Linked DNA regions of Schizosaccharomyces pombe. Changing the gene in region 1 together with any one later gene gives a genetic interaction. Each region holds a gene or a part of one and is shown in the gene's direction. Other genes may lie near its edges.

Region 1 (5,945 bases):
GGCATCTTAAACGGTGTTGCCATAAGCTTTGGTTTAAATTGAACCAAAAGCGCCTTGTTTTGCTCTCCATAGATAGAAGCACATTGATCCATACCGCCCGTGTTGACACCTACATAATGCTCGGAAACAACACTAATCTTGACGAGGTCTTCTTTGGTAATTGTATTAATTCCATTGGCTTTCAAAATGGCTAAAATCGATGCCACACAGAAGGCCGCCGAAGATGATAGTCCTCCACCAGTGGGAACGTTACCATCAAAAATCAACTTTAATCCTTTTAAAGGCTTCTTACCCCCACTGACTAATTCTGGGTATTTCTCTAAAATATATTTATGAGCAACAATCATAGAGCATCGAAAGTAGTTTCCCCAGGTGTGGTGGGTTTTGTTAATTTCAATCACTGCCCCGTCACTCGGTAATTCCAATATTTCCTCCTTGAATTCTGGATTCGTGTTATTCAACTCAACTTTGGCATCATCACTTGTGGTAACTGAAACAATAACATCAACGTCAATTGCCATTGGCAATACTGAAAAGTAGTTGTAGTCAATATGTTCGCCAATGATGTTTACTCTGCCAGGCGAGCGACTAAAAAAATCTGGCTTGCAGTGATATTTTTGTTCAAAACTGTTTAGCAACTTTGCATACCTAGCTTTGTTTTCTTTTGGGTTGGAGTAAAATGATAAGTCGTGATATGTAGGAACGGTAGCCATAATTTGAGACCAATCAGAAAAAATTACAAATGTGGTAAAGAAAAAGTAAACTTGAAAATGATCAATGAAAAGGTATTCTCTCCTTTTTTCACTTCTTTTTGAAAAAATATAGATGCAGCTTTTATCTTTTTGTTTATTTGCTCTGAAAATCGATAAACACTTCTTCTTGCCTTAAAAATTAGTTTGATCAGTCAAGCAAACCACGTTATACTACTACGATTATATAAATTGTCAAAAGTTTGACCCTTTTTGCCTTATTTACTTCTTGTTTACTGATTTATGTCATTTAGACTTTGCGTTACCTGAGACATACGGTGAAGTTAAAAGTGTTGCATGGAGGGTTCGGAAAACGGTATTCATAAAAAATAACTTTGTGACATTGATTAAAAAATATCAGTTGTTTAATATAAATAAAGGCTTTGCAAAAATATTTTTGGAATTCCGTTTGTATTAAGTTTCTTAATTTCTTATTTCAACCTCCGGACAATTCTCTGCGAAATACTTGGTAATTTTTTATAAAAGACCTTGCGACTACAAAATACACCAAAAGAATGACAATAATTCTCATACTTTTAATGGAACATCTGTGTCTTTATTCTTCTGTGCCCCCACATCAAATTCTCAATCCGCAAAAGATGGGTAAGTTAACGTTTCAACCATGTAATAGCATGCAGTTTAATATCATTTAAACGAACCGTACCCCACTGAGAAGAACCAATAGAGCACCAACCTAAGTTGAGAACTGTTGGGTATGCGCTTTTTTACGAAATCCGGTAATCATAGCTTATAATAAAGCGGAGAAGATGGGAGCTTTTGTTGCTTGAATATGGCTAGAATATTCGATGCAGAAAGTCACAGTTTAATTAACGAAACTTGGGGTAATGTGATTGTACGCCTGGAGAAGCCACGTTACATTTTAAAATTGTATATATATGCTTACGTTTGGAGATACTCTAGTCACACACATATCGCATATTAAAGCTAACATAAGAAGCCCCTAAAGAACCTTAACCCATATTTCGAAAACAAATTTTTTGAGTATTTTTTTAAGCTCCTTTTTGTTCTTTATAAAATGGCGGTTCAAGACGAATACATTCTTGTAACTGGTGGCGCTGGTTACATTGGTTCACATACAGTCATTGAACTAATCAACCATGGATATAAAGTAATAATTGTAGATAATTTGTGCAATTCGTGTTATGATGCTGTAGCAAGAGTCGAATTTATTGTGAGAAAATCAATTAAATTTTTTAAGCTTGACCTTCGCGATAAAGAAGGCTTGGCTCAAATTTTTGATACCTTTAAAATCAAGGGTGTTATTCATTTTGCGGCTTTAAAAGCAGTTGGGGAATCAATGAAATTACCACTGGAGTACTACGACAATAATATTTGCGGTACTATTACTTTACTAAATGTAATGCGTGAACACCGGGTCAAGACAGTTGTGTTTAGCTCATCTGCCACCGTATACGGCGATGCTACTAGATTTGACAACATGATTCCAATCCCAGAGTCGTGTCCTAATGACCCAACCAATCCATACGGGAAAACAAAGTACGCTATTGAAAATATCATTAAAGATTTGCACACTAGCGACAATACTTGGCGAGGCGCAATACTTAGATATTTTAACCCAATTGGAGCTCACCCATCAGGCCTACTTGGCGAAGACCCTTTGGGTATTCCCAACAATCTTTTACCGTTTCTAGCCCAAGTAGCCATCGGTAGGCGAGAAAAGTTGTTAGTATTTGGTGATGATTACGATAGCCATGATGGGACTCCTATCCGAGACTACATACACGTTGTGGATTTAGCTAAGGGACATATTGCCGCTTTAAACTACCTAAACAAAATCAATAATAGTGAAGGAATGTACAGAGAGTGGAACTTGGGAACAGGAAAAGGTTCCTCCGTGTTCGATATTTATCATGCCTTTTGTAAGGAAGTAGGTAAAGATTTACCGTATGAAGTGGTGGGCAGAAGAACAGGTGATGTTCTCAACTTGACAGCAAGCCCGAATCGAGCAAATAGTGAATTAAAATGGAAGGCTGAATTGAGTATTACAGATGCTTGTAGAGACTTGTGGAAATGGACGATCGAAAATCCTTTTGGATTTCAAATTGACAACTACAAATGGAAGTTGTTTAACACTCTTGGGATTATGGATTATAAGAATAGACTCCATACTATCTGCTTTCAAGATCTTGAGGTTTCCATAGCCAATTACGGAGCATTAGTGCAAGCAGTAAGATATAAAGGGAGGAATTTAGTAAATGGATTTAATGATTTTTCACGGTATAAGCTTAAAGAGAATCCGTTCTTTGGGGCGACAATTGGCAGATTTGCCAACCGAATAGCGAATGGACAATTTGAAGTGGATGGACATTTGTACACATTATGTAAGAACGAAAACAATAAAACCACCTTACATGGAGGAAATAATGGATTCGATAAGCAGTTTTTCTTGGGGCCTATCGCTCGACAGTATGAGGACTACAATACACTGGAATTCATTTTAGTTGACAAAGATGGTAACAACGGCTTTCCTTCTGACCTGGAAACCTTAGTCAAATATACAATCAAAAATAACTCTTTGGAAATTGAATACAAATCTGTTATTCCAGAATACTCGAAACTCAATGTAACAGCCGTAAATCTGACAAATCATTCTTACTGGAATTTAGCCTCTCCTAATAAAACTATTGACGGAACAATAATTAAAAGCACGACTAACGTCTATTTAAAAGTGAATTCGGAAACCTCGTTACCGACTGGTGATATTGTCGAATGGCAAAATGACATAACTAAACCAACCAAGCTTGACCCAAACATCTCGTTTGACAATTGCTTTATAGTAGACAGGGAAGCTAGCAAGTTCTGTTTGGACACACGAAAGTATTCTTTAAAAAATATTGTTGAAGTAATACATCCCTCTGTGCCGGTGAAGCTCGTGGTGTCTACAACAGAACCTGCATTTCAACTTTACACCGGTGATGGAAATGACATCTGTGAGTTTCAAAGTCGCAGCGGATTTTGTGTGGAAACAGGTAGATTTATCAACGCTTTGAATAATGAGAAATGGTCAAAACAGGTAATCTTACGCAAAGGTGAAGTTTATGGTGCGAGGTCGAAATTCTCCCTTTACGCACAAGATTTAGAAGAAAACAAACATTTTTTAGATTCAGCATCGTACAATAGTGGAGAATACTATTAAATGAAAAAACTTAATAAAACCCAGCCGATTAAGCATCTTTTTGTTCAATAAAAGGAAATTTGTGGTTTACAACGTTAAAGTTGTTTTAAAGTATTATTATGTGTTTTCAGTTTTTTCTCATTAATAGTACTCGTCAATTAATTTTCTTAGCCCTGTCTCCAATGGGATTTGAGGTCTCCAACCTAAACTTTTAATTTTTTCATAATTCAACGAATATCTTGAATCGTTGTAATTTCTATCTTGAACAAACGTTATGTATTTTGAATAATCCAAGTTTTTCAAAGACAGCTTTCGATATAAGAAATAGTCGCAAATGAACTTGACCAAACTTAGATTATCGATTTCATCATCCGAACCAATATTGAAAATCTGGCCAGACATCTTAGATTCAAGTGTGCTATGATAAACTTCACTTCCCTGCTTCATCCAGACCAAGTCTATTGCGTTAATAAAATCGTAGATGTGCAAATATTTTCGTTTATGTAACCCATCTCCATGCAGTGTGATTTTGTCTTGCATTATTTTCTGAGATTTTTGGTTAATGAACTTCTTTAGCTTTCCAAGAGTCATAGGAATTAGTTTCTCTTCGTATTGTCGAGGACCATATACATTATTTGCTCTTATCACAGTCACTGATATTTTGTACGAATATCGATATGATTGAATTATCAAGTCAACAGCAGCTTTGGATGCGGCATAAGGACTGGTGGGGTTTAACTTTGATTTCTCATCTACCGATGCATTTTCATCCTGCTCACCATAAACCTCATCAGTAGAAACATGAACGAAATTGAGTCGATTACGTAATTCCTCTTTTTTACCTAAAAGTATTCTTACGCACTCTAACAAATTTTGAGTGCTCAAAATGTTGTTTTTGGTAAAGTACAAAGGATCGATAAACGATCTATCAACACTGGACTCGGCAGCAAAATTTATTATGTGCGTAATTTTATTAATTTCGGAATCTTCAACCATAAATTGATACAAGAATTTATAATTCGTAGCCAGGTCCATTTCAAGAAATCGGAAATTAGGTTGGTTCAAAACTTTGCTCAAGAATACCGTGGTATAATTGCTCACATAGCTTAATTTGTCTATACACGTAAAGTGAAAGTCAGGGTATTTGTCCACAGCATAATCTAAAAAGTTTGACCCAATAAAGCCCGCACCTCCTGTAATCAATGCATATCCTTTATATTCTTTATAGTCCCCAGTCATTATCAGTGCCAACGAGATAAATTTAAGAAACGTACTTTTTTTAAAAAAAAATAGAATTATAAAAAATGTAGACGTGGTTTTATTTTATTCAAAATGAATGATGATATTTATGATATCAAGACCGTATAAGCAACGTAATTTTTCCAGCCCCTTTTCCGTGTGTTTGTGGATCCCTTTACTTATTTCATCTAACCTCCGCATGTGTCCCGCTTAACATACAATGCATGAGAAGCTTGAAACTTTATTCATATCATATTAGTCCTGTTTTACTTACTTGGCCCCCCACATAATTGCGGGTTCGGATATTTTGCAAAACATGTAAGAAAGTGGTATATATATACCGAACGAATCCAGCTGCTCGTACTGGGAAGCAAAGAGGAATGACTAGCAAAAAATTTGATTTTACCGAGTATTCACATCGTCGTTATAATCCATTAACGGATTCGTACGTTTTGTGTTCACCTCATAGAGCAAAGAGACCATGGCAGGGAGCTAAAGAAGAGATCAAGAAAGATGACACTGTAAAGTACGATCCAACATGTTACCTATGCCCTGGTAATATTAGGGCTACAGGTTTTGAAAATCCGAAGTATGAGACAACATATGTTTTTCCCAATGACTATCCTGCGGTGAGAGTTGATCAACCAGATTATATGCAAGATGAATCTGAAATAACGAAGGGGAATACGTTAAAAACAAGGATGTTTAAGACAGAAGGAGTGAAGGGAAAATGTTTTGTTATTTGCTTTTGTCCTAACCATAATTTAACTTTGCCATTAATGAGCGCGGAAGCGATTTGC
Region 2 (5,074 bases), 1.1 Mb from region 1:
AAATACAACAGCCGAGAACAGAAGAGCAGTCACAAACCATTTTTTATTCCACAATATTAGATTGTATTAACACAAATAAAATTTTTTTTTCAAGGCATTCTCTACAATATCGAAGACATTCAACGTATAAAGGTTAGTCTTGATTCAAATACTTACCCTTGTAATTTCAATTTAATGTTAGACAAAGTTATTGCCCCAACGTCTCTGGAAAACGCGGATGCAAATTGTGGAGGAGGCAGAACTGGAAAAAGTATCAGCCAATCATCAACATGTCTGAAAAAAAATTCCAAGATATTTCTAAGCCTAGCTCGTAAAAACGGGTGACAAGACATGTATGGCGCTATCGAAGTACGAAAATAGAAAATTGCCAGACGATATTAGAGTAAAAGACACAAAAAGAATTTCATTTATTCACCCTATTATAATTTTTCAGCTTTCATCAATGTATGCGTACTAACTAAAAAAATTATCGGTGGTCATTTAAAAACAACAAAACCATCCAGCATTCATCACATGTCTTTCATCCAATCAAATGTAGTTATAGCTATTATCGTCCAATAGATTGCAGAGGCGGGATCAAAATCCCCTTAGGCAAAATTGGTAGGCTTCTCCACAGTTTTTCTCAGACTTGGGAAGAATGGAGCGGGGTAGGGAAATATAGCAAGACCCTGTCTTACAATGATTGGGCAAAAGCTTCACATATATGGGAGCAATATATGTACAATAGGCGCTTTTCACGGACATAGCAAACCTTGTTAGTAATGAGTTGGGCGTATTTAAGGAGGTCCCAAGGCCTCAAAAGTCGTTTACCAAGTTCATAACTTTTTAGGGACTACGTTAGTTAGCGATGAATTAGTGATGATTTAGTGTGCAGCGTTTACATTTTCTTAACACAGACAATTGCAGTACGGGTTACAGCTCCATATTTCTTCTATAGTCCGAATGAAGTATGGGCGTACACGTAATCAAGGGATAGAAGTATCCTTTTACACCGAACTGTTCAAGAGCGAATATATCGCTTGAGAATTCTGTTTTTTTTTGAAAAGGTTCATTGTCCATCCATATTTACCTTCTTGTTAGGGAGTCTCGCTAGGATGGTTGGTGTCGCGGTCGATGTATGGTCTCCAGGTTGGGGGCCCCTAGCTATCCTGACTTGGATAGGACAGAGATAAGATACACGTTGCGTGACGTTTTCTTAAAAAAAAAGAGCACGGCTATGCTCTATTCATGTTACTAGTTAATACTAGAGGAACTCCGCATTTAGGTTAGTTCCGTTATGGACTCGAATATGTGGAGCTCGAGAATGCAAGCAATCGAAATTTGAAGGATTATGGTTCCGTAACGTTAATTGTTCTATTGCCAGCTTTGAGATAGTCATGCAGCGATGAGAGTATGCTGTGTTTTAAACTTTGATATTTGCTGGTTCCAATACGTATGGCCACCATTGGTATTATTTTTTCGCCTTGCGAATTAATTTTACTGCAGACACTTTACTTCTTTTGCCTCAGGAAACGTTTTTTTGTGTTCAATCTTGATTTAACGATATGAGGAGTATAGAAATATACTTGGTTTTTTCGGTTACTTTGCTAAAATTATTGACGTTGGAATACACTCTGTATTTGCTAGCAGTCCGAACTTGCAGCCTCGGTCGCCAAAGTATTTAAATTTACTTTACTTTTGAGAATTATTCCTACATCACATTTATTGAAAGTCGTTTTTTCATCCTGTTATCGGCTTTCTACCTCACTAATAGTGTCTTTCCCCAGTATATGCATCAGTTTCATTACGTACAGTGTATCATTTTACGATTGAATTTTTTTTTTTGCTATGGAGAATTAATGATATCGTGACATTTTTACCTCGTTCTTGACTTTCAACGAGCTGTTGATCCTCGTCATACACGTCGTTTAAATTCTATTCCACATCTTATTCGTTCTTATTTGTGTGTGACTGCGTTTTTTTAAGTCGGCGTCCAATGATACAAGAGTTTGCTAACTACCTTGTTGCCCTTGTAATATTGTGACGTATAACCAAAAACTCTCCGGCGATCCTGTCTAAAATTTCACTGAAAGCAAAGGACTTTTGATACTTTTGTCGGGGTTTCTCTTCCCGAATTTAGTATAAAAGCTGCCCTCTTGACTGTTAAAATCTTTACCTAGACCTATTCTTGCTTTTTAAGTGCAAGAGCAACTTTAGTCTTCATTTACCTAAAAATCCTTTCTTTTTTTGGTTAAACAAGAACGAAATCCAAAGAAAGCTCAATAAAAGCATTGTGCTTTCCTTGGTTACCCTTTCTTTATACCGATTTTGAAAATACAAGCTCTCTGTGCTTGAAAATCATAATCTAGATTAATTTTTCTTTTAATTTTTATTTATTGAGAATCTCTTGTCAAGATCTCTAACTCATAAACTGTCTGTTCTTTGTTCTATCATTTCTGCTTAACGTGTTGCAACTGAAATAGACGTGTGGTTAATTTTATTCAATCTTTTATTTTCCACTTACATCCTTTCTATAGAATTTTTGTTTTTTTTCATCTTTATTAGATTCCTTTATACTTTATCAAAATGGGGTTCAAGCGTGGAAAGAATTTTACCCTTGTTATGTTAATTTTCGTCTCCATGGCCGGTTGGATGTTTGGTGCTGATACCGGTTCCATTGGTGGTGTTACTAGTATGCGCGATTTTCGTGAGCGTTATGCTGATAGATATGACCCGATCACCGACCAGTATTCTTTGTCTTCGGCTCGTCAAGGTCTTTTAACTGGTATGGTTAACGTTGGTTCCTTGTTTGGATGTATCATTTCTTCTCCCATTGCCGATCGTTTTGGTAAGAGACTTTCTATCATTGGTTTTTGTGCTGTTTATATCATTGGTATCATCGTTCAAGTTACCGCTGTTCCCTCTTGGGTACAAATCATGGTTGCCAAGATTTGGACTGGTATTGGTATTGGCGCTCTTTCTGTCTTGGCTCCTGGATATCAATCAGAGACTGCTCCTCCCAGTATTCGTGGTACCGTCGTCGTCACTTATCAGTTGTTTGTCACTGGTGGAATTTTCATTGCCGCTTGTATCAATATGGGTACTCACAAACTTCATAAAACTGCCCAGTGGCGTGTTTCAATTGGTATTAATCTCCTTTGGGGTATCATTACCATGATTGGAATTCTCTTCCTTCCCGAATCCCCTCGTTATCTTATTCAAGTTGGCAAGGATGAAGAGGCTGTTAGAGTTCTTTCTGAAAGTGCTGAGCTTTTTCCTGATAGTGAGGAAGTTCAAAATGAATATCACCGTCTCAAATCATCTATTGACGAAGAATTTGCTGGTGGCCCTTGCAGCTGGGCAAGCATTTTCGGTAAAGACATTCGTTATCGTACTTTCCTTGGTATGTTTGTTATGTCGCTTCAACAATTGACCGGTAACAACTATTTCTTCTACTATGGTTTCTCAGTTATGCAAGGAGCTGGTATTAATTCTCCTTACCTATCTGCTATGATTCTTGATGCAGTTAATTTTGGCTGCACTTTTGGTGGTATGTATGTATTGGAAAGGTTTGGTCGTCGTAACCCTCTTATCATTGGTGGTATTTGGCAGTCAATTTGCTTTTTCATTTATTCAGCTGTCGGTTCTCGTGCTTTATATCATAAGAACGGTACTTCAAATACCCGTGCTGGTGCCGTTATGATTGTCATGGCATGTCTTTTCATTTTTGGATTTGCTCAAACTTGGGCTCCTGCCGCATACGTTATTGTTGGTGAGTCATACCCTGTTCGTTACCGCTCTAAGTGTGCTGCCGTCGCTACTGCTAGCAACTGGCTCTGGAATTTCCTAATTTCATTCTTTACTCCATTCATTCAAGCTTCTATTGGATTCAAGTACGGTTACGTTTTTGCTTCTTGTAATTTGACCGGTGCAATTGTTATTTTCTTGTTTGCTAAAGAGACTAAAGGTCTTACTTTGGAAGAAATTAATGAGTTGTATATGTCTGTCATCAAGCCCTGGGAATCTGGTAACTTTAAGCTTAACTATTCTGAGCAAAAGAAAGTTGAGAAAGAGAAATCCAGAAAGGGCGGTGCCCGTGGTGAGTCTGTTGAGTATGTTGAGCGTGCTTCAAACACTGACTCATCTCCACAATACTCTTCCCATGAGGAAGATTACGCATAAGGCAATAGCTAAACGTCTTTGTATGATTTATGAATTGTGTGAGGCAGCTAGATCCAAAATTTGTTGTTCCGATTCGTTGGGTCTATATATTATATTATTAGCTAAGTTTGGATTGATAATTTGTTAAGTTACTGTGCATCTTAAATCTAGTTTTTTGAGATTATGTTCGTTTGCATATAATATTAGATACATGTGCATTCTTTGTCCATTTTTGTGTTTTTGTGTTCATTATAGGAAATAATATTTTTTATACCTAATTAAGTTTTTGTTGATTCGTTGCTTAGTAGCTAAGTATTTCCAATGTTAATAAATATTTGTAAATGTTGAAGTGAGTCATGTTTATACAGTGATTTGTAGTTGAATTTTCATTATATTAGTAAGTCTGTTACAGAACAATAATCATTTTACGCTTGTGTATCGCCCAAATGTACTTTATTAGTTATTAATTTTTAAATCAGCGTTGCGGGCAGTGTCGTATTATTCTGTATGATACGATTCGGCAGACTAATGTACTGCACTAAACTAATATTGTAATTTATTTAAGTTCAACCGAATACGGCTGAAGAAAGTATATTTCGTTGCTGTTCGATATTTACATTTTATCCTTACGCGCTTTTATACTTGCGAACCAAAATGGATTATGGGGATATTTACATTGCAGAGGAAACAGAATGGGATAAATATAATCGTCAAATAAATAAAAATCCAGATGATTTTGATGCTTGGTAGGATGTTGTCAGATACAACTTATTTAGTGCTAATTATGATTTAGGGAAGGACTGGTTCGTGCTTCAGAACATCTTGAGGGAGGTGTTGGCAGAAACTCTTCGAAACAGGCTATCAATACATTAAGAAGTGTGTACGATCGATTCTTGGGAAAATATCCGCTATTGTTTGGTTATTGGAAGAAGTA

What was found.
Region 2: of gal10 (region 1) and ght2, changing one enhances a phenotype caused by changing the other (phenotypic enhancement), as found in Schizosaccharomyces pombe (one study listed by BioGRID).

The regions. Positions count from the first base shown.
Region 1 is NC_003423.3:4,483,259-4,489,203, reverse strand, and holds gal10 (UDP-glucose 4-epimerase/aldose 1-epimerase Gal10), read left to right. Parts: upstream 1-1,668; 5' UTR 1,669-1,785; coding exon 1,786-3,927; 3' UTR 3,928-4,047; coding exon of another isoform or gene 4,048-5,145; 3' UTR 5,146-5,181; downstream 5,182-5,945. Other genes in the region: galactokinase Gal1, read right to left, coding at 1-713; tgd1 (nucleotide-sugar 4,6-dehydratase), read right to left, coding at 4,048-5,145; galactose-1-phosphate uridylyltransferase Gal7, read left to right, coding at 5,526-5,945. UniProt on the Schizosaccharomyces pombe protein: Mutarotase converts alpha-aldose to the beta-anomer. It is active on D-glucose, L-arabinose, D-xylose, D-galactose, maltose and lactose.
Region 2 is NC_003423.3:3,425,007-3,430,080, forward strand, and holds ght2 (plasma membrane glucose/fructose:proton symporter Ght2), read left to right. Parts: upstream 1-2,153; 5' UTR 2,154-2,565; coding exon 2,566-4,161; 3' UTR 4,162-4,418; downstream 4,419-5,074. Other genes in the region: U1 snRNP-associated protein Prp39, read left to right, coding at 4,795-4,886, 4,934-5,074. UniProt on the Schizosaccharomyces pombe protein: High-affinity glucose transporter.